Coturnix japonica: one gene and its partners. The protein of the gene in region 3 interacts with the protein of the main gene of each other region in a pairwise test. Links are inferred from orthologs where the notes say so. Each region holds a gene or a part of one and is shown on either strand. Other genes may lie near its edges. The genes, in order: TSPO, SLC35B4, CREB3L1, PLP1, FAM3C, MFSD5 and TMEM11.

The links.
Region 1: the proteins of CREB3L1 (region 3) and TSPO interact in binary tests that used the Homo sapiens proteins (3 or more experiments, as listed by UniProt). The two-hybrid records come from large-scale screens. The link is inferred for Coturnix japonica from reciprocal best matches to the Homo sapiens genes CREB3L1 and TSPO.
Region 2: the proteins of CREB3L1 (region 3) and SLC35B4 interact in binary tests that used the Homo sapiens proteins (3 or more experiments, as listed by UniProt). The two-hybrid records come from large-scale screens. The link is inferred for Coturnix japonica from reciprocal best matches to the Homo sapiens genes CREB3L1 and SLC35B4.
Region 4: the proteins of CREB3L1 (region 3) and PLP1 interact in binary tests that used the Homo sapiens proteins (3 or more experiments, as listed by UniProt). The two-hybrid records come from large-scale screens. The link is inferred for Coturnix japonica from reciprocal best matches to the Homo sapiens genes CREB3L1 and PLP1.
Region 5: the proteins of CREB3L1 (region 3) and FAM3C interact in binary tests that used the Homo sapiens proteins (3 or more experiments, as listed by UniProt). The two-hybrid records come from large-scale screens. The link is inferred for Coturnix japonica from reciprocal best matches to the Homo sapiens genes CREB3L1 and FAM3C.
Region 6: the proteins of CREB3L1 (region 3) and MFSD5 interact in binary tests that used the Homo sapiens proteins (3 or more experiments, as listed by UniProt). The two-hybrid records come from large-scale screens. The link is inferred for Coturnix japonica from reciprocal best matches to the Homo sapiens genes CREB3L1 and SLC61A1.
Region 7: the proteins of CREB3L1 (region 3) and TMEM11 interact in binary tests that used the Homo sapiens proteins (3 or more experiments, as listed by UniProt). The two-hybrid records come from large-scale screens. The link is inferred for Coturnix japonica from reciprocal best matches to the Homo sapiens genes CREB3L1 and TMEM11.

The regions. Positions count from the first base shown.
Region 1 is NC_029516.1:62,978,335-62,982,425, reverse strand, and holds the start of TSPO (translocator protein), read right to left. Parts: upstream 2,801-4,091; 5' UTR 2,800-2,800; coding exon of another isoform or gene 2,372-2,799; coding exon 2,182-2,371; intron 1-2,181. Other genes in the region: MCAT (malonyl-CoA-acyl carrier protein transacylase, mitochondrial), read left to right, coding at 2,347-2,799, 2,906-2,993, 3,779-3,996. UniProt on the Homo sapiens protein: Can bind protoporphyrin IX and may play a role in the transport of porphyrins and heme. Promotes the transport of cholesterol across mitochondrial membranes and may play a role in lipid metabolism, but its precise physiological role is controversial.
Region 2 is NC_029516.1:1,329,018-1,332,517, reverse strand, and holds part of SLC35B4 (UDP-xylose and UDP-N-acetylglucosamine transporter), read right to left. Parts: intron 2,819-3,500; coding exon 2,743-2,818; intron 2,526-2,742; coding exon 2,450-2,525; intron 1,665-2,449; coding exon 1,418-1,664; 3' UTR 1-1,417. UniProt on the Homo sapiens protein: Antiporter that transports nucleotide sugars across the endoplasmic reticulum (ER) membrane in exchange for another nucleotide sugar.
Region 3 is NC_029520.1:21,207,819-21,212,102, forward strand, and holds the start of CREB3L1 (cyclic AMP-responsive element-binding protein 3-like protein 1), read right to left. Parts: upstream 2,801-4,284; 5' UTR 2,705-2,800; coding exon 2,597-2,704; intron 1-2,596.
Region 4 is NC_029519.1:1,950,539-1,954,574, forward strand, and holds the start of PLP1 (myelin proteolipid protein), read right to left. Parts: upstream 2,801-4,036; 5' UTR 2,674-2,800; coding exon 2,670-2,673; intron 1,402-2,669; coding exon 1,215-1,401; intron 779-1,214; coding exon 517-778; intron 1-516.
Region 5 is NC_029516.1:19,139,823-19,143,491, forward strand, and holds the end of FAM3C (protein FAM3C), read right to left. Parts: intron 3,303-3,669; coding exon 3,176-3,302; intron 2,403-3,175; coding exon 2,313-2,402; 3' UTR 501-2,312; downstream 1-500. UniProt on the Homo sapiens protein: May be involved in retinal laminar formation. Promotes epithelial to mesenchymal transition.
Region 6 is NW_015439867.1:573,703-577,668, reverse strand, and holds MFSD5 (molybdate-anion transporter), read right to left. Parts: upstream 2,801-3,966; 5' UTR 2,724-2,800; coding exon 2,475-2,723; intron 1,774-2,474; coding exon 406-1,773; 3' UTR 261-405; downstream 1-260. UniProt on the Homo sapiens protein: Mediates high-affinity intracellular uptake of the rare oligo-element molybdenum.
Region 7 is NC_029529.1:4,563,938-4,568,178, reverse strand, and holds the start of TMEM11 (transmembrane protein 11, mitochondrial), read right to left. Parts: upstream 2,801-4,241; 5' UTR 2,733-2,800; coding exon 2,671-2,732; intron 1,703-2,670; exon of another isoform or gene 1,604-1,702; intron 1,575-1,603; exon of another isoform or gene 1,117-1,574; intron 1,032-1,116; exon of another isoform or gene 1-1,031. UniProt on the Homo sapiens protein: Plays a role in mitochondrial morphogenesis.

The DNA of each region.
Region 1 (4,091 bases), on a different chromosome or scaffold from region 3:
TCCACTGCAGGGAGAGCTGGTTATACAGTACTTTTGCATACTGATTTGCATACTGAAGAAACCATGCTGTCTGTGGATGGTATCTGCAGCATGCAGACATTTTGATCTCTGCTGCTAAACCACCACAGCTGGAGATCTTTACTCCCTCAACACACTTCATAGAAGCTTATTTCTGTTCCTTCCCTTCACCTCTGCCCTGTGATGTCTTCTTTATCATCCTGCCCATTTTCTGCTTAGTCCTAATCTGGCTGCAGCAGGCCAGTTTGCTTTACCAGTGTTAAAATACTGCTTCTGGCTATTCAAAGCTGACCTGTCTGGCGATAGTTCCAGCTCTGTAATGCACCAGGAGAAATAAAGAGGAAAATTAGCGATACTACAGCTTGCCGCCTTCTGTCTCTTTGCAAGTTGCTTCCCTGTGATGGCTCAATGTACAGAAAGTGAAGCGGAAGCTTTCCATGTCCTCTCCTTTGTCTGGAAAAAAGAACAGGGTGTGGAGAACAACGTGTACTGCAATAGATGAGCCAACATGCCTCAGGCTGGTGAAGAAGGACCCAGAGCTGCTAAAGGCCCTTCAGAGTGAAGGAGCAGCTCTCTGAGAGCCAGGTGGGTGCCTCCCCCTATCCAGCCCAAGAGCTGCCAGAGAGCAGGAACAGAGGAGGGCAGCTGCTTCCATTGCAGTGCTATATCCTTGCTCTGATAAACCTCTGACTAATCCCCTTAAGTAACTTTGTGCTGGCTTTCCAATCACATGGCGCTTAAGTTACAGCTATTGCATTAACAGTGCTGAGGAAAATCTCTCAGTGGGGCCAAGTTACCCACACAGCTCTGGAGTTGTGGTCCTGGGCACGTTGAGGCAGACAAAGCAGCAGAAGTTGGGAGTGAGGCCCACCAGGATAGATACTTGCCCTCTGTAATGTATTATTTTGAGGGCAGTACATTTCTACGCAGGTCTGAAAGGCAGCAGGCACATCCTCAGTGGGAAAAGGCTCCACATCACATAGCTGCCCAAAGGATTAAGGGGTGCACGCTTGATGGATAGCGATAAACCTCTTAGGTCTGCTGTGGCTTTAGCTGCTGGGAAACCATGGCACTGAAGACAAAGTTTTGTCACAGCACGTGGTACAGAACTTTGCTGCCTCAAAGCACTCTTATCCTTTCCAGATGGCAAAGCCATGATGCGCTGAAACAATCTGACCCACACACTGAGAGGCAGCCCTGCCCGCTGGGACAGGATCCACCTGGCTGACAATTTGCCATTCACTGCTCAATCTCTTCTAACTTTCCCCACGTACATTTGTATAAGATCCTCTAAACAGGCTGTATTTAGAGACAAAGCACCTTTTAGATAATCTTCCTTTGCCACTGCTTCTCAATCGTCATCCGTGTATGTAATAAACACAGATATTTCCCATGTAGATGCTGTGCAGGCCTGGGAGTTCTTCAGACAGAGCGGGGTGTGAGAGAACCCCTTCAAGGCCTGCCTCCATAGCGGAGGGCTGTTGGCGGCCCACAGCTAAGCCCCAGTCACTGTGCAACGCGGCCAGCGCCCTTCGTGCGGAACCAAAGGGAGAGCGGTGCTTCTGTGCGGGCTCAGCAGCTGGGGGCTCCCCAGGAGCAGGACGGGCCCCTCTGTACCACAGCTGCTTGCTGACGGGTCCGCAGCCCCAACAACCGAGGAAACCGAGAGAGCGGTGCAGCACAGAGATAGAAAAGCGAGCCAAGTCGTCCCTATCAGGAAGACAACAGCACTCAGCACAGCTCGGGTCTGTTCCTCTCCGCCCAGCTAAGCAGCACGGCGTCGCGGAGCCGCCCGCCCAACCTGAGGCGCTGAGTGGTACCATTTCATAACCTTCAGCCACTCAAAATGACGGCACGACTACAACTGAGCCGTGGCACGTCTCGCTATCTGTGAAGTAACCCCGCCGCTGGGCGTTCAAATACTGAGCACCTCGTTTTGTTCCACAGCCACCACCTGCAAATCTAAAGAGAAAAAAGCCCAGTCCCTCCCGGCGCCCATGAAGAAACTTCCCATTAGGAGTCGTCGTACCATTCTGGCTCCCAGCACCGCGGCACGCGAGCCTCCCCGCCTCCCCCCCCCCCCCGCCTCCCCCACCCCCTGCCGGGGCCAGGAGCGGCTCAACCTCAGCTCCCGCCACGGCCAGGGCTCGCATCCCCCCTCACCTCTGCTCTGCTCCGCTCCGCTCTCGCGCCGCCACCGCCGCCTCTGCAACGAGGGCCCACCCGCTAGCGGGGCCCGCCCCGAGGAGGGGCCGCGGAACGGCGCGGCGCAGGTCGAGCAGTGGGCGGCGGGGCCGCTCGGTTCCCGGGGCAACGCGGGCGGTGGCCATGGGCAGCCGGGCCGCGACAACATGGCGGCTCGCTGGCTGCAGCGGGCGCGGCGTCCTGCGCGACGCAGCGCGGCGGCGGGGCAGCTCGCTCCGAGGCGGTGGGGAACGGGCGGCGAGCCTGAGCGAGCTGCTGCAGAGCTCGGTGGGGGACGAGGAGCCGGGCGAGGGAGAGGCGGCGGGGGGGAGGCGGGAGCAGCGGTCTCCGCGGGAGGGCACAGTGCTGCTGTTCCCCGGGCAGGGCAGCCAGTTCGTGGGGATGGGCCGCGGGCTGCTGCGCTACCCCGGCGTGCGGGACATGTACCGCCTGGCCGAGAAGGTGCTGGGCTACGACCTGCTTTCGCTCTGCCTGGAGGGGCCGCGGGCCGAGCTGGACCGCACCCGGCACTGCCAGCCCGCCGTGTTCGTCGCCTCCCTGGCCGCCGTAGAGAAGCTCAACCACCTGCAGCCTAAGGTAGGCGACGGCGACCGTCGGGGCCGCGACGTGGCTCCCGCCGCTCGGCTCCTACACTGGCTCCCCCCCGCGGCTCTTCCGCTGACGGCCGCGTGTGTCTGTGCAGGTGGTGGAGAGCTGCGTGGCCGCTGCCGGGTACAGCGTGGGCGAGTTCGCGGCGTTGGTGTTCGCCGGAGCCATGGACTTCGCGGAAGGTGGGTCAATTTTGCTTTCTGCTTCCGCGGTTTGCTTTGATAGGCCTAACGTCGTATTAAAAGCACCAGCCTTGGGAAGGGACTGGAGTCCATAACCGCCTGAACGCCAGCCAGCAGTGTGCCCGGGTGAACTAGAGGGCCAGTGGTGCCCTGGCTTGTATCAGAAATAGCGCTGCCAGCAGGAGCAGGGAGGGAATCATCCCCCTGTACGCAGCACTGGTGAGGCTGTACCTCAAGTACTGTGTTCAGTTTTGGGCCCCTCACTACAAGAAAGACATTGAGGCCCAGGAGCGTGTTCAAAGAAGGGCAACAAAGCTGGTTTAGGGTCTGGAGCACAAGTCTTTTGAGGAACAGCTGAGGGAGCTGGGATTGTTCAGTCTGGAGAGGGGGAGGCTCAGGGGAGACCTTATTGCTCTCTGCAACTCTGTTGCAGTGAGGTAGGGGTCGACCTGTTCTCCCAAGAAACTAGTTATAGGACACTAAGTAATTGCCTCAAGTTGCACCTACGAGGTTCAGATTGGATATTACAAAGAAATACATACCTGCAAGAGCGGTGATGCATTGGCACAGGCTGCCCAAGGAGGAGATAGAGTTACTTTCCCTGGAGGTGTTCAAGAAATGTGTAGATGTGGCACTGAGGGACATGGTTAGTGAGCACGGTGAAATGAGTTGATGGTTGGGCTGGATGGTGGTAGTGATATTTCCAACCTTATCAGTTCTGTGATTCTCACTCCCAGCGTGAGCAAACTGCCTGTCTGCACTCACCTGTCCCCTTCTCCCCTCAGCACTCTGTGCTGTGAAGGTGCGTGCTGAGGCCATGCAGGCGGCAGCGGAGGCCGTCCCCAGTGGGATGCTGTCAGTCATCGGCAGACGAGAGGCCAACTACAAATATGCCTGCCTGGAAGCCCGTAGGCACTGCGAGTCACTGGGCATAGACAGCCCCGTGTGCGAGGTCTCCAACTACCTGTTCCCAGATAGCAGGGTCATCGCAGGGCACATACAGGTACTGCTGCAGGAGATGCACCTGATTACTTCAACTTCACGTATTAAAACTGCTCCAAAAGTAATGCCACCTATTTTATTTTGTTGGCCTGCAAT
Region 2 (3,500 bases), on a different chromosome or scaffold from region 3:
GTAACCACGGTGCTAAAGGAAAATCAAGACAAAAAAATCCATGCATGTGCTCCCTTCCTGCTCCAAGACCAAGAAAGACAAGGCTGCTCACCAACCTTTGCTCTGCCCAACCATGACCAGCTCCTAGAACAGCGCTGCTCTTCGCCTTGCTGGAAGACATACATCCAAAGCTCTTGCAAGTTTTCCAGATGTCATGCAAGAGGTGATGCTATGGGACACCTGTCCTGCACCAGGTGGATGCATAGAAATGTCATGAGTGAAGCTGACCCCCAAGAAATGGAAGAAGGAAAGAAAAGGGGAGAGCCAGCTGAAGGGACGGGAAAACCAGCCCCTCCTCAGCAACAGAATTAAGCTCAGCTGTTCTGGCCCTTCTGAAATTCCTTGGCAATGTTTGTACCCTGAGGCGTGTAGTGATAGAGCAAGGGGTAACCGTTCTAAAGTAAGAGTTATATTCGGTGTTAGAAGGAAATTCTTTACTCTGAGCATGGGGAGGCACTGGAATAGACAACCCAGAGAAGCCGTGGAGGCCCCATCCTTCAAAGTGCTCAAGACCAGGTTGGATGAGGCTATAGGCAACCTTTCTAGTTGGGGGGGGGGGTTCATAAAAGGTCCTTCCCAAGCCAAATTGCTCCATGATTTTACACTGAAGTGTCCCAGGCACACAGCACGACTCACTGCAGCAGTAGGTAGCAAATTCACCTGTGGCCACACTTAGGATGATGGAAAAAAGGAGGAAGATGTGGCTGAAAAGTGACCTGCACTAAGTTCTACCAGAAGCAGGAACCCCTAACACCCTCCACCTCATTAGGTAGCAGTGCAATATCACGATATTTAGTGACAGGAGCTTGGTGGCTTGGAGGTAAGTCCCCAAAGCCACTCTTTAGTAGTCTACCAAGCAGACTGAAGAAGGTGGAAGCTATGGGGTGTAACCAATATCCTCCCAGCATGATCAGGCAACAAGGACTCAAATTAAAAGCCAGGCCTGGCACTTCCAGTGTAACTAAAAACCTGCTCCATAAACAGCAGCGTCTGGTGGCTCTCTGGGGCTCAGCCATCCACTACAGTAACCTGGCTGTTAAAGGACGGCACCAAATGGGCTCAGGGTTCAGCTCAATGAAGCTGAGAGGACTGCAGAGAAGCACAAGGTTGGGATCCTAATCAAGAACCGGGTCAGCTTTAAAATTATTTAAAAGGGAAGGAGTTGCATAACAAAATGCACCATCTCAAAAGTAACCATATCCTCCCACCACGATCCATTATTCCAGGCAGGTTCCCAGCAGAGGCTCCACGTTTCCCAGGAGCTTGGCACAGCCAACACCTCCCCTGTGTTATAAAAAGGAACCCCCTTTCAGGGAGATTTCCTGCTGCTCTGCTCTATAAAACAATAAAAAGGTCCCTCCAGAGTGTCCCCCAGCTGCTATTCCGCCTTCGGCCTCTTCCTCCAGCGAGCCAGGAGGGGCCCGAGGCTGTTCCACACCTCTGTGTACATGAGAGTCCCCACAAAGACGAAGGCAGTGCCCAACCAGTGCCAGGCCGTGAAGGGGTTACGGAAGTAGAGGATGGAGAAGATGAGGCTGACGAACTTGCGCAGCGTCACCACCAACGTGACGGTGAGGGAGGTGCACTCCGTGGTGAGGATGAAGACGCCCCGAATGCAGACGTATCTGGGTGGGTGGGAGGTTAGGGAGCATCAGAGCTACAAAGGGAGGTTCTCCTAGCCTCAAAAAATGCAAAGGTTTGGGCAGTGGATAACCCCAGTTTGGTTACAGAGAGAATAAATGTCCCTTCTCAGCTCAGCTGTGCTCTGACCCTCAGGGAAACCCCTGGATTCTCAACATCCCCTTCAGCCTGCACTGTGGGAAAGCAAAACTCCTCCACTACAGAGTAGCCAGAGCTGATGTGCTAGCAAAAAGTTAATGGCAAACAGGGTTTGCAGTTCTTGCAGTGGGGCAAAGGGAAACTAAAATCAGACTTCTTCTGATCTACTACTAGTTACAGATGGAGAAGTCCCCTTTCCTCCCTAAGAGGGCAAAGGAAAGGCTTTGAATTGGTCTTATGGAGGAGCATGAGCAGCTATAAGGCACACTAACTTGTCAGCAGTGAAGAAATTGGTAACTGAAGGGCCCCGTTTTCCAGGGTATCTTGGCTTCATCAGACTTGCAGATCTGCCCTTGCTGCCATGGGCATGAATGGCTGTTATCCTTTCTAACGGCTGGCAGAACCACTGTAAGCTTTTACCAGCCAGCCTATCCCTGGGGAGACGGTGGCAGATTTCAGCCAACCTGGAAAATACCCTTAAGTTCCAGGTTGAATTCCACTCTGTATTTTCCAAGATCAGCTCCCAAAAAGCAGGGGAGGCATTAAGGGTTCGGCATCCCCACCCTATTCCACCTCTCCTATCGTGCTTCTATCTCCAGAGCTTGTCTCAAGCTGCACATTGGAAGGATACTGAGTGATGACGTTCATGAGGAGGTAGAACCACATGATTGGCATGGTCAGCCCAATCACTGGGATCTGGAATGGCTCTGTGGGGAGGAAGGACAAACAGGTCTCTAAGCAGCAATTAGCTCAAGAAAAATGCATCTGCTGTAGGCACACAAAGTGTGAGCCAGGAGGGAGCAAGGTTTGATACAAAGAGAAGATGCAAGGAGAGAGAATGTCTCTTTTGTCCATGAATGACAAAAGCTTCATCCAGAGGACAGAAAGGTACAAGAACAAGGCTCCCATCCATGCAACACTCACCAGACTGGCTGAAGAGAACTGCATGGTGGTAGATGTTTGGGGCCAGGAGAATAAAGCCAGGGAGTGGTAACGCATGCTGGAAAGAAAAGGTAAAGAAAGACATGATGTTAGTAATTCATGTGAATCCACTCACTTCTTACTGAAAAATCAGCCTCACACATCTCTGTGGATTCGAGCTTCACTGCTCTACCCTCACAGAATGTGATCCTTTGGATTTCTGCCCCAGGGATATTGCCTGTTTTCAACATGCTCTGTGAGCAGCAAAAAAACCCTCCTCCTTCCAGGAAGCAAAGGGGGAAGATGGGATCATGTAATCACAGAATGGCTTGGGTTGGAAGGGACCTCAAGGATCATGAAGCACCAACCCCCTGCCACCAAACTCCACATTGAATACCAGCCCAGGCTGCCCAACGCCCCATCAAACCTGCCCTTGAACACCTCTAGGGATGGACGGGGCATCCACAGCCTCTCTGTGCAGCTGTTCCAGCACCTCACCAACTCTCTCTGTGAAGAACTTCCCCCTGATGAAGAAGGATCTACTACAGCCCAGCTATACAGGCTGTGAATTTCATCAGTCTGCTTCTCAGCAGGGGAAATTCAGAAAGCCAGACCTCCCCCCCCTTTATAAAATTCACCTCCTGGGCTGCACCTCCAAAGGAAACTTCTGGAGTCAGATGACTACACATAGCTGAAACCACCACTATCATTTGAAGCAGCTCACAGGGCTGCCTGTGTGGATCTGAGTGCCAGGTGGGTCT
Region 3 (4,284 bases):
TTGTCCAGACCTGTCTTAGAAACCTCCAGGGCTGGAGATTCCACCACACCTCTGGGCAGCCTCATCCTCTCCTGTGTCCTCACAGTGATAAATTGTTTCCTTATACTCAGTCTAAACCTTCCCTGTTCTGATTTACGAGCGCTGCCATGCACTTATGTAAAGAGCCTGGCTCCACCTTCTCAGCAAGCTCCTCACAGGGCCAGCAGGCTGCTGCTGGGTCCCACTGTGCCTGAGCTCCCATCTGTCCATACTGTTATGCTCCTGCTGAAGCTAGCAGCCCCCTATGCACTCTGCTGGCCCAGGGCTGCCCAGTACCCCCAGCACTTCTTTCCTCCTCTCAGCCTGTGAATGCCAGCCTGTCCCAGTGCAGGAGCTGGTCCATCCCAGGAGCAGCAGTCAGTATTGCTTTGCTGCATGTCCCAAAGCTCCTGCTGAGCCATCCCTACAACCTGCCTGGCTTCCTCTGAATGCCAGCCCCCTTAGGTCAGACTTTGTTCTCTGTTTCAAGCACACAGAAATCTTTGAGGTACAGAGGTTCACATGTACGGAGGTACTGTCCTAACTCCTTCCTTACTTCCATCCTTACTACAGTCATGATTTCAAATGAACAACACAGAGAACCATTTCTAAAGAAAGGAGGTGACTTATTAGGAGAGAGAGGGCTCAACAGAGGTGAGTGGTTCAGGGCCATATAATCCATGTACCAAGGAGCACAACCTCTGCACTGAGCATCACTCGTCCTTTCTTTCTGCTTCTGTTCTGAACAGAAGGAATCACCCCCAGAACCAGCCTCATACAGGCATTTTATGGCCAAAATTCCTGGCTCTTCTAAGAAAAATACTTGCTGAACAATATCTGGAAGATTTGCCCATCTATGAAGCAAAGGCACTGGCAACTCTGTGAGCTATTGTGCACGGTGATGCTCTGCACAGCTCTGTGTGAAAACAACTCAGCACATCTCTGGATCCTGGGAAGTTTGCTGCACTTAACAGGAGAATGTCAGTGTATTCATCCTTCCCGTGTTGTCATGCAGCAGAGGAACAAGGAAGCTGATGCACTATGTTCTGGTGCACGTATCAGCTACAGATTCAGTAGGTGGGAAGCAGCTAAGGAATCTCCCCTGCTTATCTGGGAAGGGAAGGGAAGGTGTCTGCTGGACACTCACACTGCAGCAGAAGTCAGCGGTGCTGGCAGCAGGTGAGAGATCCACACAGCGTTCCTTTTTCTAACTGTGAGCTGAGGACAGCAACAGCAGAGCTGCCACAACTGGCTGCTCCTGCCCGTGGTCACTGCACACGGTAAGCACACTGTCCTGGCAGGTGGCACCAGATGGCACTCTTACAAAAGGCTTCTTTTTCTCATGCTCTGTTTGCAGGCACAAGTTGTGTTTGAACTACAAGGAGGGACCGTCTACACGGGTGAGGGTTTTCCTGCCTTCTGCTTGCAGTCTGTGTTGCACAGAGGTCAAAGGACTGGTGCCAAGACAGAGTATTATCACGGAGATAAGAGAATAAGCAGTCCTGGCACAAAGCGCTCCAGGTTCAGCACAGCTGCACCCACGAGGGGTGTACAGTGAATAGGGGAAGCACGAAGCTCTGACCTGCTTGGAGCAGACAGGGCCTTGCACAGCTCCACTGCTGCCACTCCCAGGCACGGCACTGCCTTGCAGTAGGAGCTGGTGAGGCCCCTGGGAGACGAGGCCGCCTGCGTAATCTCTTTCCCAGACCCAATGCATCTCCACACCCCGAGTGTGCTGCACTTCACATCTATGCAAATTCTGCATCTCTACTTTCGTCTCCACGTCGGAGGCAGAGCAAAAGGCTTTGGCTATCTTATGTGCAGCAGAGAAGAAGCGGAGTTAGCCAAGGGCTACAGCCCTCCCCTCCCTGCCCCCTGCAGCGGTGCTGTGGTGCTGGCATCCCTTATCGGGATGTCCTCAGGGATGCTCAGATCTGTACAGGAACAAGGGAGGATGCTCCCCATCTCACCGGACCACCCGAGCACTGGGGCTCTTCCTCTCCTCCCCCAGGGCAGAGGGGCAGCAGATTTGCAGCAAGAGCTCACCGGGACGGCACAGCTCCCGTAGCCCAGGCAGGGCAGCGAGGGAGGGAGCTGTTGGGTTTGGAGCTCGCAGGGCTCCTCGGGAGGCCAGGCAGCTTCCTTAGAGGTGAACAATGCCCCTCTGGTTCCTTGGGACTGGCAGCAGCTCTTCCTCCTAAGTAACTCTTCCTCTCGCCCTGCACTCTAAAGCAAACCATCCCAGCCCTATCGCCGGACGGGGACGCCTTGTCTCTCCGACGCTGCTCTGCCCAAGAAGTGGGAAACAGACGGGAGGGGGGACCCCATGTCCCGCTGCCCGGTAGTGGGGGCTCACAGCCCCGCGTCCCGTGGTCCCGCCGTGCTCCAGCGCTGCTCGAGCGGAGCCCCCCCGGCCGCGCTCCCACCGCCCCGCCCCGCACGCTTCTTCCCGGGGCCTGAGCGCGCCGCCAGGGCAAATAAGGCGGAAAAAAAAGCAAGGCGAACGAGAGCCGCGGGCTGGCAGCGGGAGATCGGGACGGGCATCCCGGGCTGGCCGCCGCCGGGCAGCGCCCCTTACCACATTGCTGAGGAAATCCGCCTCGCTGAAGTCGCCCAGGTCGAGGAAGCCGGGGCCGGCGGCGGGGAAGAGCCGCTCGGCGGCGAAGGGCTCCAGGATACTGTCCATGGTGCCCGCGGCTCGGGGCTCCGCCGCTCCCCGGCCGGGCTCACAGCGGCGGCACGGTCCCGCCGCCCAAGGGCCGGCGGCAGCGGTCCATGGATGGGGCGGCGGGGCCGGGTGGGAGCGGGCCGCCCGCGGGCGGGGGAGCGCCGGGGAGCGCCGCGCCGGTGCCCGCTCGGGGCAGCTGTCAGTGCCCCGCTGCGATGGGGCCGGGCGGGCAGCGCCGGCGGCCGGTAGCGGCACGCCCCCGCCCCGTGCTGGGGAACCGCGGGCGGGACTTGGCGGGCCCACACCCCTTAAGGCAACGCGGAGGCGGAGGGCAGCGCTCTCCTTCCTTCGGGCCGGGCAGACCCGCACAGAGGGGTCCGAGAGTCTCATGGCTGCGCGGTGCGGTGAGGTGCGGTGAGGTGCCCCAGGTGGGTTCGGCTGTGCCGGCCGCTCAGTAACTAAGGAGCTGGGCACCATTAAGGAGCTTTGGGAAGATTATGTGGCTTAGGATAAATGGGATTATGGATCCCCATCCTCCCTGATCCTTACTCCAGCCAATACTCAGGAAAACCACTTAGAATGATCGTGCAGAAGCCTCGATGTTTTGTTGATCTTCCCCTGCTTCTGTGGCTCCACATAATGGGTCCCACTGCTTCTTGGCTGTGGGTGTGTGGAAGAAGTCAGGCAGCTGTGCTGTAATGCTGGTAGAGACCCATTGGGAAATGTCTCAGTGCAGACATGCAGGCACGGCCAGGACCCTGTGTTCCCCACACACGGCTGTCACAGGCTCTGTGTCCCCATGCATCTGAGCACAGCCCTGAGCACACCTTGGCTGCTCCTCGTAGTGTTGGCCACATGCTGCTCCTGCACACAAAGGGCTTTATGCCCATGCACACAATGGGTTCTTTCAGTTGCATTTACTTTTACCTTATGTTTCAGTCAAGTGTGAAGAGCCTCTGGGTGAAAGGGGTCGAAGACATAAATTCAGCCAGGATGGGGCTGTACTGCTCTTCCCATAATACATATTCTTATGTATATGAGGAGGAATGATGTTTGGAAACCATCTACACAGAATGGACCCTCTCCCACGAGGGCCGTTTTCTGCAATCATTCTGGCTTTGAGGGCGATGCTCCCACCTCCTGTCCTGAACTAAACATGGGTATCACCTCTGTCACCACTGTTTCTCAACTGAGCAAACATGGGAAGGCTCTCTTCAAATGACAGAGGGATCAGGCTGCTGTGGTCTAAGGAGAAGATGTACCAGCATCTCTGGGGCATTCAGGCAGCTGCAGGATGACCACTATTATCTCTCTTGCCTATAGGTGGGTCTGATTCAGAGGCAGCCCCATGATGTGGCACCATGCAGTGACTCAGGCTCCTTTCAGCCCCATTGCCTCTGATTTTATACTTAGATTTAGTTGCAATCTGATTGCAGCAGGAAACTGAAGCAGCAACTGGGTGCGCTTGGACTGATAGAGACTCAAACCAACAGCAGATAAGACTTCCTGGCTGTAAGGCATTTGGTGCTGCAGATGCGCGTGGATGACCAAGATAGCTTCATCATTTCTGATAAGAGAGCTATCAACCCAGTTCCCAA
Region 4 (4,036 bases), on a different chromosome or scaffold from region 3:
CCACACACACGTGGGACTGACCAGCTGTGGCACAATGGTGCCCCTTCCCATACCAGGGGATTTCTGCGGCCAGCAGGGTTTGACCTCTGCGGGAGAGCAGCTGCAAAACCCCTGAGCTGAGCAACGCCGCTCTGCTGCCCTCCCTCCATGGTGCCACCCCAACCGAACCCAAAGGGAACCGCAGCCATTCCCCTCTGCTCCCCAAGGCCATTCCCAGCACTAGGGCACCAGTCTTCGGGCACCATGCAGGACAGCCATAGTGGCAGCATGCACTGCCCTTGCAGGGATGCTTGCGGCTCTGCCGGGTGATCCCTAAGCACAGAGCAATTTGTTTGGGGGCAAATGCCATGGTCAAATTGGCTGCTTTGGGCACACAGTTGGCCTCGGGGAGGGCTGTCAGGCTGCGCTTCCCCTCGGTACACCCCGACCCCCGGGCGGTCGCCATCTCCTGCCCTTCAGCCAACGCCAAACCCGCTGCAGGCGCGCGATGGGGTGCCAAACCCCGGTTAAGATCACCTTGTCAGGATGTCCTAGCCACTTTCCCAAACACTGACACACCCGCTGCAAAGAGTGAGCTCGCTGGGGGCCTCGCGCTCCCCTCCCTTTCGGGCCCCCAGTTACCGTTGCGCTGAGGCCCTTGCCGCAGATGGTGGTCCGGTAGTCCCCGAAGATTTGCCGGACGGCGCCGGTGGTGTAGAAGCCTTCAGCCAGCAGCAGGGCTCCATAGAGGAAGAAGAAGGAGGCTGTGCCATAGATGACGTACTGAAAAGCGTGGATGCTATGGGGAGAGGAGCGGTGGGGATGCTCAGGCAGTGCTGCGGCACACAGCCCCGTGTGCAGCCCCACTTACCCTCCCCAAGCCCAACACACCCCTGGGGGAGCTGGAGTGGGGTGTCACCTCCTGTGGGGACAAAGCTGCTGTCCCCAAGTGGAGCTGATGAGGGGGAGCAGCACCTTGCTAAGCAGGACATCCTGCTGCCCCCATACCTACCTGGTGCGTCTGTCCTGTGCACCCCACAGCACCTGGCGTGGGTCAGATAAGAACAGGGTGAAAAGAAATGGAGCATCTGCCACGGGGCAACAGCGCCGGTGTGAGGCTGCCCAGGGCTGAGCACAGCCTGCGTGGTGTCGGCCCCAGTGGGTGGCAGCAGAGCCGGGTGACAGCGGCACATCACGCGCAATGGAGACGCGAGGAGCCCCGCGCCGTTACTTACACATCGATGAGATACTCGTAGTCCTGGTAGTTCTTGGAGAAGTAGGTCTCAATGAGCTGCTCGGTGCCGGTGAGGGCTTCGTGCCCACAGCCACAGAACAGTGCCACCCCAAAGAAGCAGAGCCCGGTGGCGACCAGAGAGGCGAAGGGTGCCCCGATGAGGCAGCGGGCACAGCACTCCAACAGACCTGCAGGGCCACAAGGGGGGATTTTAGGGAGATAAAGGGAAAAATGCTGAAACTATTTGTGGTGGTGCTACAAGAGCAGCAGTGCAGGGTGCTGGGGAGCTGGCAGTTGAGTGAGACGGAGATGCGGGGTGATGCAGCGTGATGCCAGTGGGAGCAAACCAACAAGCTGCTAATGGGCTCCCCGCTGCCGCAGTGCTAGGGGTTTCTATTTGGGCTGCCATGGTGCCGTGGTGCTTACAGAACCTGGGATGAGGTTGGGGTGCAGAGAGCGGGCACAGCTTGGGGGCAGCTCCACTCCCTCCCCGGCGGGTGTGCACTGAGTTCCTAAAGCGCTCCGAGTGCTGGAAGCAGTCCCAAACCCATGCTCCCCCCACGGACCCTACAGAGCCTATCATCTCCTCCTTGCAAGGACAAGGCAGCCTTGGGGTCCTGGCCAGCAACGTCCCCCCCTCCCCACACAGAGCAAGGGTGCGTGGTGGCACCGAGGACAATGGGGGATTGTCCAAAGAGCAAACAGGGAACAAAGGCAGCGCTGTGGGGGAGCACAGAGACCCCCCCGCCTGTTTGCCTTGGACACAACGGGGCCAGGGAGTGGTCCTTATGCCTTCCCCTCCCAGCAGTGCACCCTGATCCCTGCAGGTCCTACAGGGATGGATAGCTGCATGCGTTGCAGCACGATGATGGTACCAAGCTGACTTGAGGGTTTTAGTATTTCTTCTCTCCCTGCTGGGAACCTGGGGGCAGTTGCTGGCAGATGGCAGGTGGGGACCAGGATGCAGCAGGGCCTGGTGTGCCCTCCAGCTTTGGGAAAGAGATGGAAAAGTGCAGGAGGAGAAAAGGGGAGAGAAAAAAGGGCCCTTGTGCAGCACCATCATGGGCCTTGTTGCACAAAGTGCTGCGGGCAGGAGGAGGGTGGCAGCTGTGAGACCCCCATCAGAGCACCCAGCAGGATGACATCATTTTATCGATGGGGAAACTGAGGCATGGAGCTGCAGGCACACAAGTGGCACAAGCTGTGATGGGTCTCAGTGCCCCGCTCTCCCTGCAGCCCTGGGTTGAGCTCATGCTCCTCTACCCTCCCGGAGGGATGGGGTCTGTCCCAGGAGGGGACAGAAAGCCACATGGGAAAGGAAAATGCCATCCCTGCTTCCTCCCCTGCCACCCATGGGAACATCACCTGCACAGCCTGCCAGTGCCAGGGGAAATGCTCGGGCTCTCTGCTCCAGGCCCCCACAGCTGTGACAGCTGTCCCACGTCCCCATACTCACCCATGGCACCCGACTCGCTCAGCTCCCCGTGCGCTCGGCTCTGTCTGCAGCCCTCGCCTCCCCTGGCAGTCCCTCACCCTGTATTGTCCCCTCTGGGTGCCTGTCCCACTCGCCAGCAAAGAAAAGGGCTCTCTGAGTGACAGCCACCCCCCTTAAAGGGACAAGCCCCCGTCCCTCCCCGCCCCGGCCCCCCCCAGCTGCACCCCTTGGCTGCCAGCCGTTCTGTGTGTGGGCAAAGCAGAGAACTTCAGGGCTTGGGGTGGGGAGGGGGAGGGAAAGCTTTTCTAAAAGGGATAAAGGGGCTGGGGGGGGGTCACAGGGCACCCACTGTGCAGTGGGAGGGGGACCCCCAGGCCTGGCTGGGGTGTGAGTGCCTATAGGTGTGAGTTGTAGCAATGTGGGATCTGTGGGATGCAGTGATGCCCCTCTGTTGCCTTCTTGCTCCCTAAGTGTCAGACACCTGCGTTCAGTGCTCCAGAGTGGGTGTTCTGATGGGAATTCTGCTCTCCTTGCTTTCACGGCAGTTCTTCTCTCACTGTCCCCATCCTTTTGGGCTCTATGTGGGACAAGAGACAGAGCTCCAATGGGCACAGTCCCCAGAGGGAGTCCTCCATGGGGTCCTCAAGGGATGGGGACACATCCAGGGATGGGGAAGCAGAGGGGGTCAGCTCCTTGGGGTGCCCATCTCCCATGGGTGCCCCCCATGGGGGATCAGCACAGGGCTGGGGACGCCTGCAGAGGGCAACAGGGCCCTTCTCAGCAGGCAGACAAAGCCCCGCTGTGTCCCTCAATGCCCTGCTTTGTGCCAGGCTGCGCTGTGGCAGGGCCTGGCTGTCCCTGGGGCTGGGAACACTGCTGGGCTGGGGGTCCCCAGGGCACCACACAGTGCCCCCAGTGCTCTTCAGAAACCACATCTGCGGGGCTGCTGATGCTCACTGATAAGGGACTGCATTGCCTGGATGGAGCCAGGCACCAGAGGGAAAAATGATGTTATGGGGAAAAAAACGATGAGCCCTTCTTTCTCTTTCTGCAGAAATTCAAGATCTTGCATTTTATTTCAACACCCTGGGGGGAAGCATCAGCTTTCTGCCATCCGGGATAATGTGAGCAACGAAGCAGGGCTGCGATTTCTGCACCAAATGCCTTCAAAAATCTCCGTAATTGGTTACTGCTCGTTAGCATCTCCCTCCCGTGTGCCCCCCCACCCCCAGGGCTGCCCATGCTGCAGGGGGGCGGCTCCACAGTCTGATTTCATCCCTTCCTTCTGCATTTTGGCTGAAGCCTTTGGGACCCCCTCATGCTGCAGGCTCTGAGCATCCCCTCTTGGCTGTGTGTCCCCGCTGGCTCCTTCGCTGTGAGGATGCCTC
Region 5 (3,669 bases), on a different chromosome or scaffold from region 3:
ATCACAGGATCTCCTTTCTGTTCTCATTTTCATGGCTAAAACGAGCTCATTTGTATAACTGAATGATTTAATATAATGAAAGGATGCAGCTGTGATGATATGAGTTAGAGAATGGGGGAAAGAGAGGGAGATTTCACAAGAACTAAATGATTTAAGAACAATTATTAAACTGCTTATTGCTTTAAAAGCAGCAATTAAATATTTTGTGGCAGATTCAGCTTTAACAGGTTTTCATACTGTTCATGCTTGCTTCAGATGGCCAGAAAAAAAGAAGGCGGCACAAATCTAAAGACAAAAGCTAGAACTACAGCCAGGCTTCCTTTATGTCCTCCACTACATTCCATAGAAGATAGTAGTGCAAGGAAACAATAAAGCTTTCCTCAGTGCAGCCCCCACCCTGCCCTCACCAAACCAACCACTTCTCCCACCTTTAAGTCTCTACTAAGTATCTTCCAAATTCTTCTACTATTATCTTAGATAGCAGCATAACCAATACCAGCTTACTTACAAATAATTTATTCATGTGAAAATTCCAGGACTTTGCAATTAGTTTTTCACAATAACCTGATGTTATGAAATAACTTTTATTATCGAATGGATAGAAACGAGGTGTTTTACTCATTTGATGTAAAAGATACATATGATTTTGACACATCCTCCTAAACAAGAGAATCTGAAAGATTTAACAAAAACAATTTCACCACATAAGGATCTTTTATTGCTGCTCTACATTAAACTTCAGTGAAAGCCACATTATTTAACAAACTACTTAAACGTACAGAACAGCTCAGAGTCCAGTCTTAGTTTGACATCACAGGTTATTTGACTTGAGAAGCAATTCCCAATATTGCTTGACTTGTTTTTTAGTGCATACAATTGAGTTCATTTCAGAAGACCTATCAACAATAGGAACATTTGAGTGCCACTTACACTGTGGGTTCCTGAAAAATCCTTTGTGGCTGTAGTCCCATGGTACTAGCTGGAAGTTTCTGAAGATTAAACTAGAAATCATGACATAAAACTCCAAGAGATTACAATCAATTCTGTAACATCCCCTATTTTTTTTTTTCCTATACCAACAATTTAATTTATAACATGCTAACTTACTTTCAGTGAAAGTTCAAGCTGGCCCTACATAAAAATGGAGCTATGTTTTCTGACAGCTCTGACATGAGCTGAAGAATAAGGCCACTTCAACTTGGTCCTTTAATTTTTTTGCATTGAAAAAAAATGAAGATGCATCATCACTTAAGTTCGAATACTATAGATTGCATAACCAAAGATGCGATGCTTTCTCTACTATCACTGTAAGCACATATGACCCCACATTAGGTGTAACACAGGCAGTAAAGACTCATAATACTGTACCCTGGACAACTCTTACTAGAAGGCAGAATGCTCTCCCCTGGGTTCTTTGCAATAGAAAATTTATTTCTAGGTTTACGACTACAGCAGGAAGGCACCCCACCACACACATATGTACTATGTGACTAGCCAGCAGGGCTGAATAGCCATAAGTAGACTCAGAGGTTAAGCAGCAGTACAAAAACTGTTACCAAAAAAAAAATGAACAAGTCACTTGTTTGAGTACTGTTGTTTAACATGCCGAGTCTCTTCTACACAGGAAGTACAGTTTTCAAGCTGAGCAACAATCCTTCCAAGCTGCTTTTAAGTATCACATACACTATTTACACATTTACTTTGCTCTTCCCTTAGTAAAAAAAAAAACTTATATTGTGCTTTTCATGGTATATCTGTATTTCACTATCATGTTTTCCTTCTTTGCAGATTATCCAGTTTTGGTGGGAGACTACAAAATAAATTTTTTTAGCACTCGGTATTAGAATAACCAAATTAGCTTCAATAAAAAGTGATGCTGCCATTAAAAAGGCAGAAGATAAAAAAAATTAAAGCTCTTTATTAACTTATCTCTATGTTTTCCACAAAGGTTACATTCTCACAGCAATGTTAGAAGACAGTACAACATTTGTCCAGATCTGTTTATTATTGGCATATGCAATTTATTAGCCAGTCGGTCTACAAGATACTCACCATAGGCAAACTAAATACTGTGCTTTTAAGAAATCTGTTTAGAAAGTACTTTATGTTCCTTTTAATTTGAACATATTTACAAAAAGGACTGTATGTGTGTTAGCAATAAATAATCCCAATATTCAAGATGTCAGTGCTCATGCACACACTGACAGGATGGCTGCATGCTTTAAAAATATTATTTACAGTACAGTCTCCTTCATAGCCCTCTCCCTAATAATAGCAGAAAGTGCATTTTCTTCCTTTCCTTTTCTGTAGATTTAGTCTTGCTTCTGAGGGATACAGCCTTCCATCTCAACAACTTCTGGCCAGCCTTCGTATTTGTTGGTGTCCTTGTTGTTCTTTATATGCTGCAAATAGAAAGTATTAATTGACTGTTAATATGAAGTCTTCTACCATGTTGCTTTAAGTCACAGCATGAAAGGTACTTCTTATTAAGACAGAAAAAGAGAAGACATCAGTAGTATCCTCTTGAGCTTTTTAAAAGATCATCAAATATAACAAATCCTCAGTACAGTAAATTGTTCAGGCAAGCGTATGCTAAAAGCAAGTACGCCGTAATAGAGAAAACATTCTCTATTATCAGACAAAGCATTACTACCTAAAGAGTCTGCCACTGCTTCTGCACTAGTCCTACACACTTGCTCACCAAGTACAAAGTTACCTTTACTGGTAATTAAAGGAGACAACAACACATGTTAAATTGCAGCTACTTAAGTATGGGAACGTATTTCACTTCACAAGTTCTTCTACGGCAGCAAAAATTCCTGACAGAAGTAAGTTTAACCAACACCTTAACAACCTGTTTGTCAGAGATTAGTGGGCCCAAAATATGACTCTTCAGCATTAAGTTTTGAATTCTCAGTTTCACTGAATTCACTTAAGGTAATTCATCTGGTTACTGGGATACTAACACCTACCAAAGTAAGACTTACCACCCCGTTGCACATTTAAAAGAAAGAACAGAAAAGAAATAAAACTGAAGATAACACCGTGTGCCACTATTGCAGTGGATACCCATTCTGAGTAAACTCGTGGTATAAAACAGGCTATGTCTCCATTAATGGAAGCTGCTGAGGTTGTAGAACATAACATAAGTTACAGAACATAAGAAGTCACAGACCTGCTCAAAGGGACTTTTAGTTTTAATTCCTTTTCCTCCACAGAAGACCCAATTGTCTCTAAAGCCAAGGTTAGTGATGGATGTGCTTCCTAGTTCAGCAATCAGTTTCCGTGCTTCCTCATTAAGCCTTGGGAAAAAAAAATAAAAAATACACATTCTCAAAGCTTTCATTGTTCAATGCACCATTCAGCTTCAATCTGATTAAATACAATTTAAGTCGGTCAATATTAGGAAAGATCTATCTTTCAAAATCAGATAAGGCTAGTTTCTGTAATCAGCTGACCTAATAAGCTCTGCTCTTTGATATTATCTGCAGCAAATAGTATAAAACCACTAAGAACCCCATCTTTTGAGAATTTATATATATAACTCAAATAATGTTAGCAATTCCCTAAGCAACTAAGAAAAGTCTATCTTTAACATAACCATTATTTAAAGACTCAAGTTGAAGCCTAAATACTTCTCTTAGGTTAAAAGAATGACCTAAATACACA
Region 6 (3,966 bases), on a different chromosome or scaffold from region 3:
CCACACAATGGGGTACAGTGCTGCACACCCAGCACTGACGTTCCTGGTGCTTTGGGCAGTGATGAGCAAAGTCTGCACTGCCATGAGGTCACCCCCCCCGCAACAAACACCGTGGGGGGGGGGGGGGGGCACACGTGTGACCCCAGGCAGCAGGGGGACACCCACCCTGTACATGGGCACTCATTGAGGGCCTGGGGGCTGCAGTGCCCCATTGTGGTGCTGAACGTGGATGGCATGAAAACACGGTGCCAAACAGCAAATGTCAAATGCCACCTTATTCCCTCCCCCTCAGAAAAGGTGGGGGATCTACGGAAACACTTTATTTCCTTTACAGAGCATAAATAGCTGCAGAGGTATGCACTGCTCCCACTGTGCCATACTTCCCCACCACCACCAGCACCACTCTCACAGCTCAGGGCTCTCGGGGGGTCCCTGGGGGGGCGGCAGCCGCAGCTCTGGGTCATGGCGGCCAACAGTGAAGAGGCGGCCGACGGCGAGCAGCGCCAGCAGCATCAGCGCAGCACACAGAGCAAAGATGCTGCGTGTGCCGCTGCGATGGTCACTGCCGTGCAGCAGCAGCAGCCCCAGGCAGGCCAGCAGGTTGAGCGGCACTCGGAACCAGTGCAGCACGCCGGCACGCTCCTTCTCAGGGATCACTTTGCGCCGCAGAAAACCCATGGAGGGGAAGTAGAGCCCACAGGCCAGCTCCAGCAGCAGAAAGGCCAGGAAGGACTCAGACGGTCTCTCCTGCCCGGGCACGGTTGAAAACGTGAGCATGAAAAGCGAGAGGAAGGCCAGCAGCACGGCCAGCGCCAGCAGGTGCACGGGCTGCAGGCGGTACCGCGCCGACACGGCCACGCGCTGCAGCGCCGAGCCCAGCATGCTGGCTGCCATGAAGCTGGAGAAGACGATGCCCAGCGGCGGCCCGTGTGGGTCCAGCACCGGCGTCCAGAGGAAGATGAAGATGTAGACGACGCTCTCGAACAGCGCCTGCACGGTGCCCAGCAGCAGCACGCGCCCGTCGGCCAGCAGGCAGCGCAGCCCATCCCCGCATGTCTTGGCCAGCGCGCGCGGCGGCCCGTGGTTCTCCTCCCAGTCCTTCAGTGCCAGCACGGCCGCCATCGCCAGCAGCGGGATGGCCGCCACGAACGGAGCCACCGGGCCCATCCCCAGCCACTCAGCCAGGGCCGTGGCCACCACGCCAGCCCCCACGGCCAGCACATTGTTCCAGAACGCCACCCGCGCGAAGGTGCCGGCCAGCCACTCAGCGGGGAAGTCGTGCCGCTCCACGTGCTCATGCACGTACCATGCCTCATAGGCAGAGAAGAGCAGCGCGGTGGCCAGCCCGCCCAGCACGCGGCCGGCAGCCAGCACCAGGTAGTCCCGGGACAGCTTGGTGAGGCAGCAGGCGGCGCAGCTCAGCGAGAACAGCACGCAGGACGCGCGTCGGCCCAGGCGATCCACCAGCGAGACGGCGGGGGGGCCCAGCAGCACGGCCGAGGCGAAGCCGCAGACATAGAGGATGGCGATCTGCCCCTCCACGAAGTGGTAGTGGTGGTACAGCTTGTACAGGTAGGGGCCCTGCAGCCAGTCGGCCGCCAGCGCGGGCAGGTAGGCGCGCAGGAAGCGCTGCTGGAAGCGGGCGAAGGCCGGGTTGGTGGCGGGGCTGGACGTGCGGCGGGAGAACAGCTCCAGGCCCAGCGCGGCCGCCAGCAGCACAGCCAGGGATGTGTAGGCAGCGAGCAGCATGGCGTGGGGCCGGGCATCACGGGGCTGCGGGACACGGGCGGGGGGTCAGCAGACAGAGGGAGCAGGGCCAGGGAGATGGAGGGCAGGGCGGCCCTGTGGGTTCCACAGCCCACAGAGACCCCACGTTGCCCTTGTCATCCCTGCAGCTTGCCCCACACATCCCCCTCCCCACACACACCCAGCCCTGACTCCCACCTCAGCCCCAACCATCCCCTGCACTGATCCCCAACACTGCAGCCCTACACGTTGCCCTCGCTGACCCCACATACCAGCCACCAGCTCAGCCCTACGTGTCCCCTGTGCAGGTTCCCAACCTGGTCTCTATATGTCCCCCCAGCCCTACACGCCTCACACACTGACCCAGCCCGGCCCCACACTCAGCCCCACGTATCCCTAGAACCTCTCTCCTATTCCTGCCCCACAGAGGGGCCGCTCCCACAGCGCGGCTCCCACCCATCGAACCCCTCCTGGCCCCACAGACGCTCCTCACCCCTCAGTGCCATATACAGCCCCACAGGACACACGCAGCCCCACAGAGCGCCCAAAACCCAAAGCACATCAAAGAGACCCTAAAAGAGACACCCCCCCCCTCCCCGCCCGCACACACAGCATCTCCCCGCACCCCCACAGAGACACCCCCCCAAACCCTCATAGCGCCTCACAGAGCCCCATATATCGCCCCATATATCGCCCCATATACCGCCCAACAGCCCCCCCAGCCCCACCTGCTCCTCAATGGGGGAAGCGGCGGCGCGCCCCGCCGCCTCCGCACACCCACTTCCGCACGCCCACTTCCGCTTCCGCCCATCACCGCCATGGGCGCCGCCATCTTGGCGCACGTCACGTGAAGGGGCCTTGCCCGGCGCCGTGCAATTGCCCCGGTCCTCGTGCAAATACCCCAGCCCGGGGCAAACACCTCGTGCATCTGCCCCCAGAAGCCGCGCAGCTGCCCCGGCCCTCGTACAAATGCGCATCCTGAACCAAACGCCCCGGTTCTCGTGCAAATCCCCCCCCTCCGCCCCGTGCCTCGGTTTCCCTCACTCACCTGCCCACGGGGTGGGGTTGGGGGGGGGCCGTCACTTGATGCGGGGCCGGGGGCGGCGGGGCGGGGGGGGACTGGGGGCAGACCCCGAGGGGGAACAGCACCGGGAACGGACGGGGGGGGGGGCAACAGGGAGAACGGCAGCCGGGGGGGGGAACAACAGTGGAGGATGGCGCAGCAGCCGAGGGGGGCTAGACCACGGGAGGGGACAAGGGAGGTGGGGCGCAGCAGGGGGGGGGGCAGCAGGGGAAGAGGCGGCAGTAAGGGCGGCACAATATGGGGTTGTGACAGAAGGGGGGGAAAAGGGAGGGGGACCGAGGGGGGGCTAGCCGGGAGGGGGCAGCAGGGGGGGACCGTCGGGGGGTGCAGCAGGAAGGAGTGGCAATAGGGGCATGGCGCAATTATGGGTGTGACAGAAGGGGGGGGGAAAAAAAACAAACAGGGGAGGTGGACCCGGGGTAGCAAGAAGGGAGGGGGGGCAACAGGGGGGGGGGGGGGCAAACAGGGGGGAGGCAATATGTGGGGGTGGAGCAGGGGTTTTTGGAACTCTGGGGGAGCGCACAGGGGACAGGGGGGGTTGTGCAGCCGCTGTCCATGCCACGCCAGCCCCATGGTGCTGCCTCCCACCCCCCCCCCGCGTGCCCCGCCGGTATTTATGTATTTATAGCCCAAAGCCGGCTCAGTGGGGGGGGCTCAGTATTGGGGGGGGGGGGTGATAGCAGCGCGGGGGGGTTCACGTGGGTGTGCCCACGCGTGCACGCGGCCGGGCAGGGAGGCTGCTGTCCCCACCCCCTTCATCCCATCCTCCACCCCATCGTCCTCGTGTGACCCCTCCACGCGGGGCGCCCCTGGGAGGGGGAGCGGGACGTGGGGACAATAAAGTGTGGAGTGATGGAGACGGGGGGATATGTGGGATACGGGGGGGATATGGGGGATATGGAGGATATGGGGGGGATATGAAGGATATGGGGGGATATGAAGGGCCGTGGGGACTTCAGGTATAATTGGAGACACGGAAGACGGGGACATGGAGAGACACGGGGACACCACGGGGGATATGGGGACAGAAGGAACATTGAGGACATGGGGCAGAGACATGAGGGAAGGGGACACAGGGGCCATAGGGGTGGGTGGGCACGGGGGGGGGGTGAAACACTGGACGCGGGGCAGCCCCG
Region 7 (4,241 bases), on a different chromosome or scaffold from region 3:
TCAGGCCATTAACCATTGCTATCAGGCTTCAAGGCCAATTGAACAGGCTGATGATGGCTGCACTGAAGTGGATGAAGAGCAGGAAAAGCACAGCGGTTACACAGGACCTCCAATCAAAGGTTGTGCCTTAAATACAAATAGGAGAGAATGGGAGAACAGAAGTGTGATCTTGGCAAGGGAAGGCAACACGAAGGGAAACATCACCAAGCCATAACAAAAGAAACTCTAGCCACTAGAGCAAAAAGAGACGTCATTTTTAAGCCAACTAATGATTAGCCAGGCTAATGGAAACGGGTCAATCATTGCTGTAAGCAAACAGAGTACCAGAAATCTGAGCAGCGCAGGTAGTGAAAGGAGAGAGCTCCTTAAGGGTGCAGAGGGACCAGCACGACCAGCAGCGATGCCATTAGAGCCTTTCTTTCTGCAGTTTGTTAGCACATCTCCAAGCAGAACAAATGGCATTTTGTCTGCGTGCTGGCGGTCATCACGCTGCAATTTATACAAAAAACCCCAAGTACAATTCAGTGTCTGTTCTGTATCAAAAGTTGTTTTGCTGCACAAATTAACAATCCCCTTCAGATAGTCTCTATTAAAGAGTCTATCCAGAATGAAGAAAAACAAATATTTAGTCACTTCTCTTCAGGTTTTTCCCTACCACCCCCACAGAGCCAGCTGGAGTTCACAGCCAATATCCTTTGAAATGAACGTACTTACACTTAGTCCTATTGAAAAAAGCACTTTCTGACCAATTACAGACTTCTTTGTATCAACGAAGTCATTGAGGGAGGGATACAAATTTCCACAGGCAGCAGCTGGACTTTTTAAAAGGAATTTATTTACTTTTAAGTGAAAGCTGGTGAAACCTCCTTGGAGCAGACAGTATCTTATTCTTCTGCCACCACCTCCCAACACACTGATGTCTTTTCAGACTAGCTGGCTGACAGCTCCAAAAACACCTTGAAGCAGCTCGTTTATGAGGAAAGCTGGATTAGCACACTCAGTTGAAAGGAATGCATCTCAGGACAAGAATCCTGTAAGAAAACCATATTCATCTTACAGTAAGCCTACGTCATCATTTGACGTCATCGGGTCTGTCAGAGCCACCATGTCCACAACCTGCACTGCCAGCAGCCAAACCAGCCCAGTAGGTGTGATGGAGAATTAACCCCTGATCCAGGCAGTGGCTCAGTCACAGGCACCTGCAGCTCTGCAATCACAAGGCAGGCATGCTCCTTAGCTGACGTCACCCAGCACCTATTAAAAGCATCTCCTGGCAGGTCTGTATGGGATGACACCTAACAGAAGCACTGCCTGCTGATAAGGATTGTGAAACATTGCTCCATGGTGGAACGTTTACACAGATCACCTGCTGCCCCACCGTGTGTCACTTTGTGCTCTTGTGCACTTAGCCACATATTTCTCATTGTAAAAGGCAAAATAAGGGATGCTGGAGGTTCATGAAGTAAGCACCTCATGTTTATGAATAAGTATTTTTTGATCACAAGATCGAGAGGAATCACAGCTTAAAGATCATCACAAACTACAATGGCATTGTACTATGGGAACACCGTATGGTTCACAAAGTCACAGGGTGCCAACTCACTTTTAAGCCTGCATCCATTTTCTTCCTGGAAGAATCATTTTCACTGAGGTCAAGCGCTCTTTCCCGTATTTGTTCTTCACCTCCCTTGGCAGGGCAGGCCTACAATGTGAGATCTCCTCACCTCGTGTGCTCAGCACTGGGGTAGGTGCCAGCAGGGGTGCAGACAGCTCTACCACCGCGCCACCGTGCTCGGCAGCATTCGGAGTTGTTTATATAAGCCGTGCTGAGGGAGTCATTCCATCAGCTCTTCCAATTCAATCACTTGCAAACTCCCTGAACAGAGGCAGCCTTTCTGTGTATCACATTGGCGCTGTGATTTTAAGGGCTGCTCGTGGCTCTGCTCAGCACCATCAAATACAAACCTCTCGGATTACAAAAAAGGAACAAAAGAAACCAAACCCTAATTTCAATACCATAACGATAAAAACCAAAGGGATATCGGTCTCCGGGTATGGCAGAGGGACAAAAGCAAACCTCGGGGAATGCTGTGATTCTCTGCTCCTCACAATGAACACGCAGCTGCTCCGGTGACATCAGCCACCCCAGGGCAGAGCAGGGAGCACAATACGCGAGGCAGCACGGTGCTCAGCGAGATTGAGGAGGGCTCAACCGACTGCAAGGACCGACTTTAAAGCAGCTCGGCGAGCAGCTCCCTCAGCTCCTTCCTTCCTCCTTTCAGCCGGGATTCAGCAAATCCCAGCGCTGTTCCCAGCCCCGAAGCAGCACAAACCCTGAGCGCGGTTCTCAGGAGGTCACCCTGGCGGCCTGGCCCTCACACCCACCCACACGGGTCCGTCTCCCCGGTGCCTCCTCCCTCCTCCGTCCCGTCCCGCCCCGCCGTTCGCACACATCGATGGCCGCTCCGACCTTCCCGCCCGCATTACGAGTCTCCCTGTCCGCCCTCCTTCCCCTCCACAGCCCCGCTCCCCGGCCGCCCCGCTGTCTCCCCAGCGCCGCCCCCGCCCTCGCCTCACGGTCTCTTGTATCCCCGCTGGCCGCAGCCCGCTCCCCCCGCTCCCCTCATACCCCGACCTGCGCCCCGTCCCCCGCCCCGCTCGCGGCCTCACCTCTCCCGGCCGCCGCTGTTGGTGCTGCCGGGCCCAGCGCGCCTCCTTCCCCACGCCGCCATCTTGGACACACTGCACTCGCAAATGTCTCCGCCGCGAGGCCGGCCGCGCTGCCCCACGGGAAATGCAGTGCGTGCGGCCGCCGGAACCGCTCAGCGACAGAGGGGCGCGCCCAGGCGAGGACTACAACTCCCACAGTGCACCGCGCCGCCGTACGGCCGATTAGGCCTCTGGGATGCGTAGTCCCCTGTGTTAGCGGAGGGGTCGGGCCGGAGCGGGCCGGGGGCTCCTGACGTTAGTGCGGAGCTGCGAAGCACAAAGTGACCCCACGGCCACCGACCGACCGACCGACTGCTGAGAGCAGCCAACAGAGCTGAGCGGAGCCGGGAGGGCGGGGGAGGAGCGTCATCCATGGTCCCGGCCTGCAACGCGGCACCGCCAGGAGGGCAGCAGCAGGGGGGCGGCATGGGCGGGGGTCTCACAGTGCAGGTCTCACAGTGCAGGTCTCACAGTGCAGGTCTCACAGTGCAGGTCTCATAGTGCAGGTCCCATAGTGCAGGTCTCACAGTGCAGGTCTCACAGTGCAGGTCTCACAGTGCAGGTCTCATAGAGCAGGTCTCATAGAGCAGGTCTCATAGAGCAGGCCTCGCTGCCATCGAGCTGTGGGTGTTTGTGGTGCCTCTGTGCCCCATCAGGAGCCTTCCTCCCATTCAATGGCCTTCCCTTACAACCAGCCATTCTCTCAGGGACTCTGTGCCGCCATCAGCACACACTGGGAAGCATCAGCCCCTCCCTGTGCCGTTCCCCATTCATTTCTAACATCCTGCTCTCTCTGTTTTCCCCAGCAGCCACCAAACCTCTGAGAAGCAGGAGGGAACATATCGGAGGGGCCGTGTAACCCGTGACAGTGCTGTGACTGACAGCGCGATTCAGAAGAGCGGCGTTGTCTCTGCATCTCCCTTCCCTAGAAAATGCCTCATTTTGACAACATTATTTCCAAGTGAGGTAATGGAACTAAATAGAGCGAACCCATCACTGCCTACATCGTCCCATCACTGTGAAGCTGTGCTTCCAAACCGCAGGACCATCCTGCACTCTGCTCTCTCAGCCATCATTTGGGGTTCAGCTCTTTCAATGGAGGTAAATAGTGCATTTGCATGAGCAGGAGGTGATTGGGAAACGTTCCCAGTGCAGTGGAGCGTGCGGTGTTGCTGGGGCAGGTCGGAGCATCAGACCTTCTGGAATGTGGAATGTAAACAGAGCGTGTTACTAGCAACAGCCCAGCTTTGTGCTATAACCCCAACCACTGCACTGTCCCTCCAGACGAGCTAATGCCAAGCTCCCTGAGGCTCAAATTGCAACCCAAGGGCCACATGTCACTTGTTATACTGGGTCAAATCATGACTGAAAAGCAGCAGTGCCCCTTCTGCCCACCAATCCAGCAGCCTTGGGATTTTTGCCTCTTGCAATTCCAGCCTCAGCTTCTGTGGCTTGCACTCATCTATAGCAAGCCATGTAAATAACGCTGACTGGGAGCCTGAGGGGCAGTGCTTCCCAGCTAAGGAGTGCAG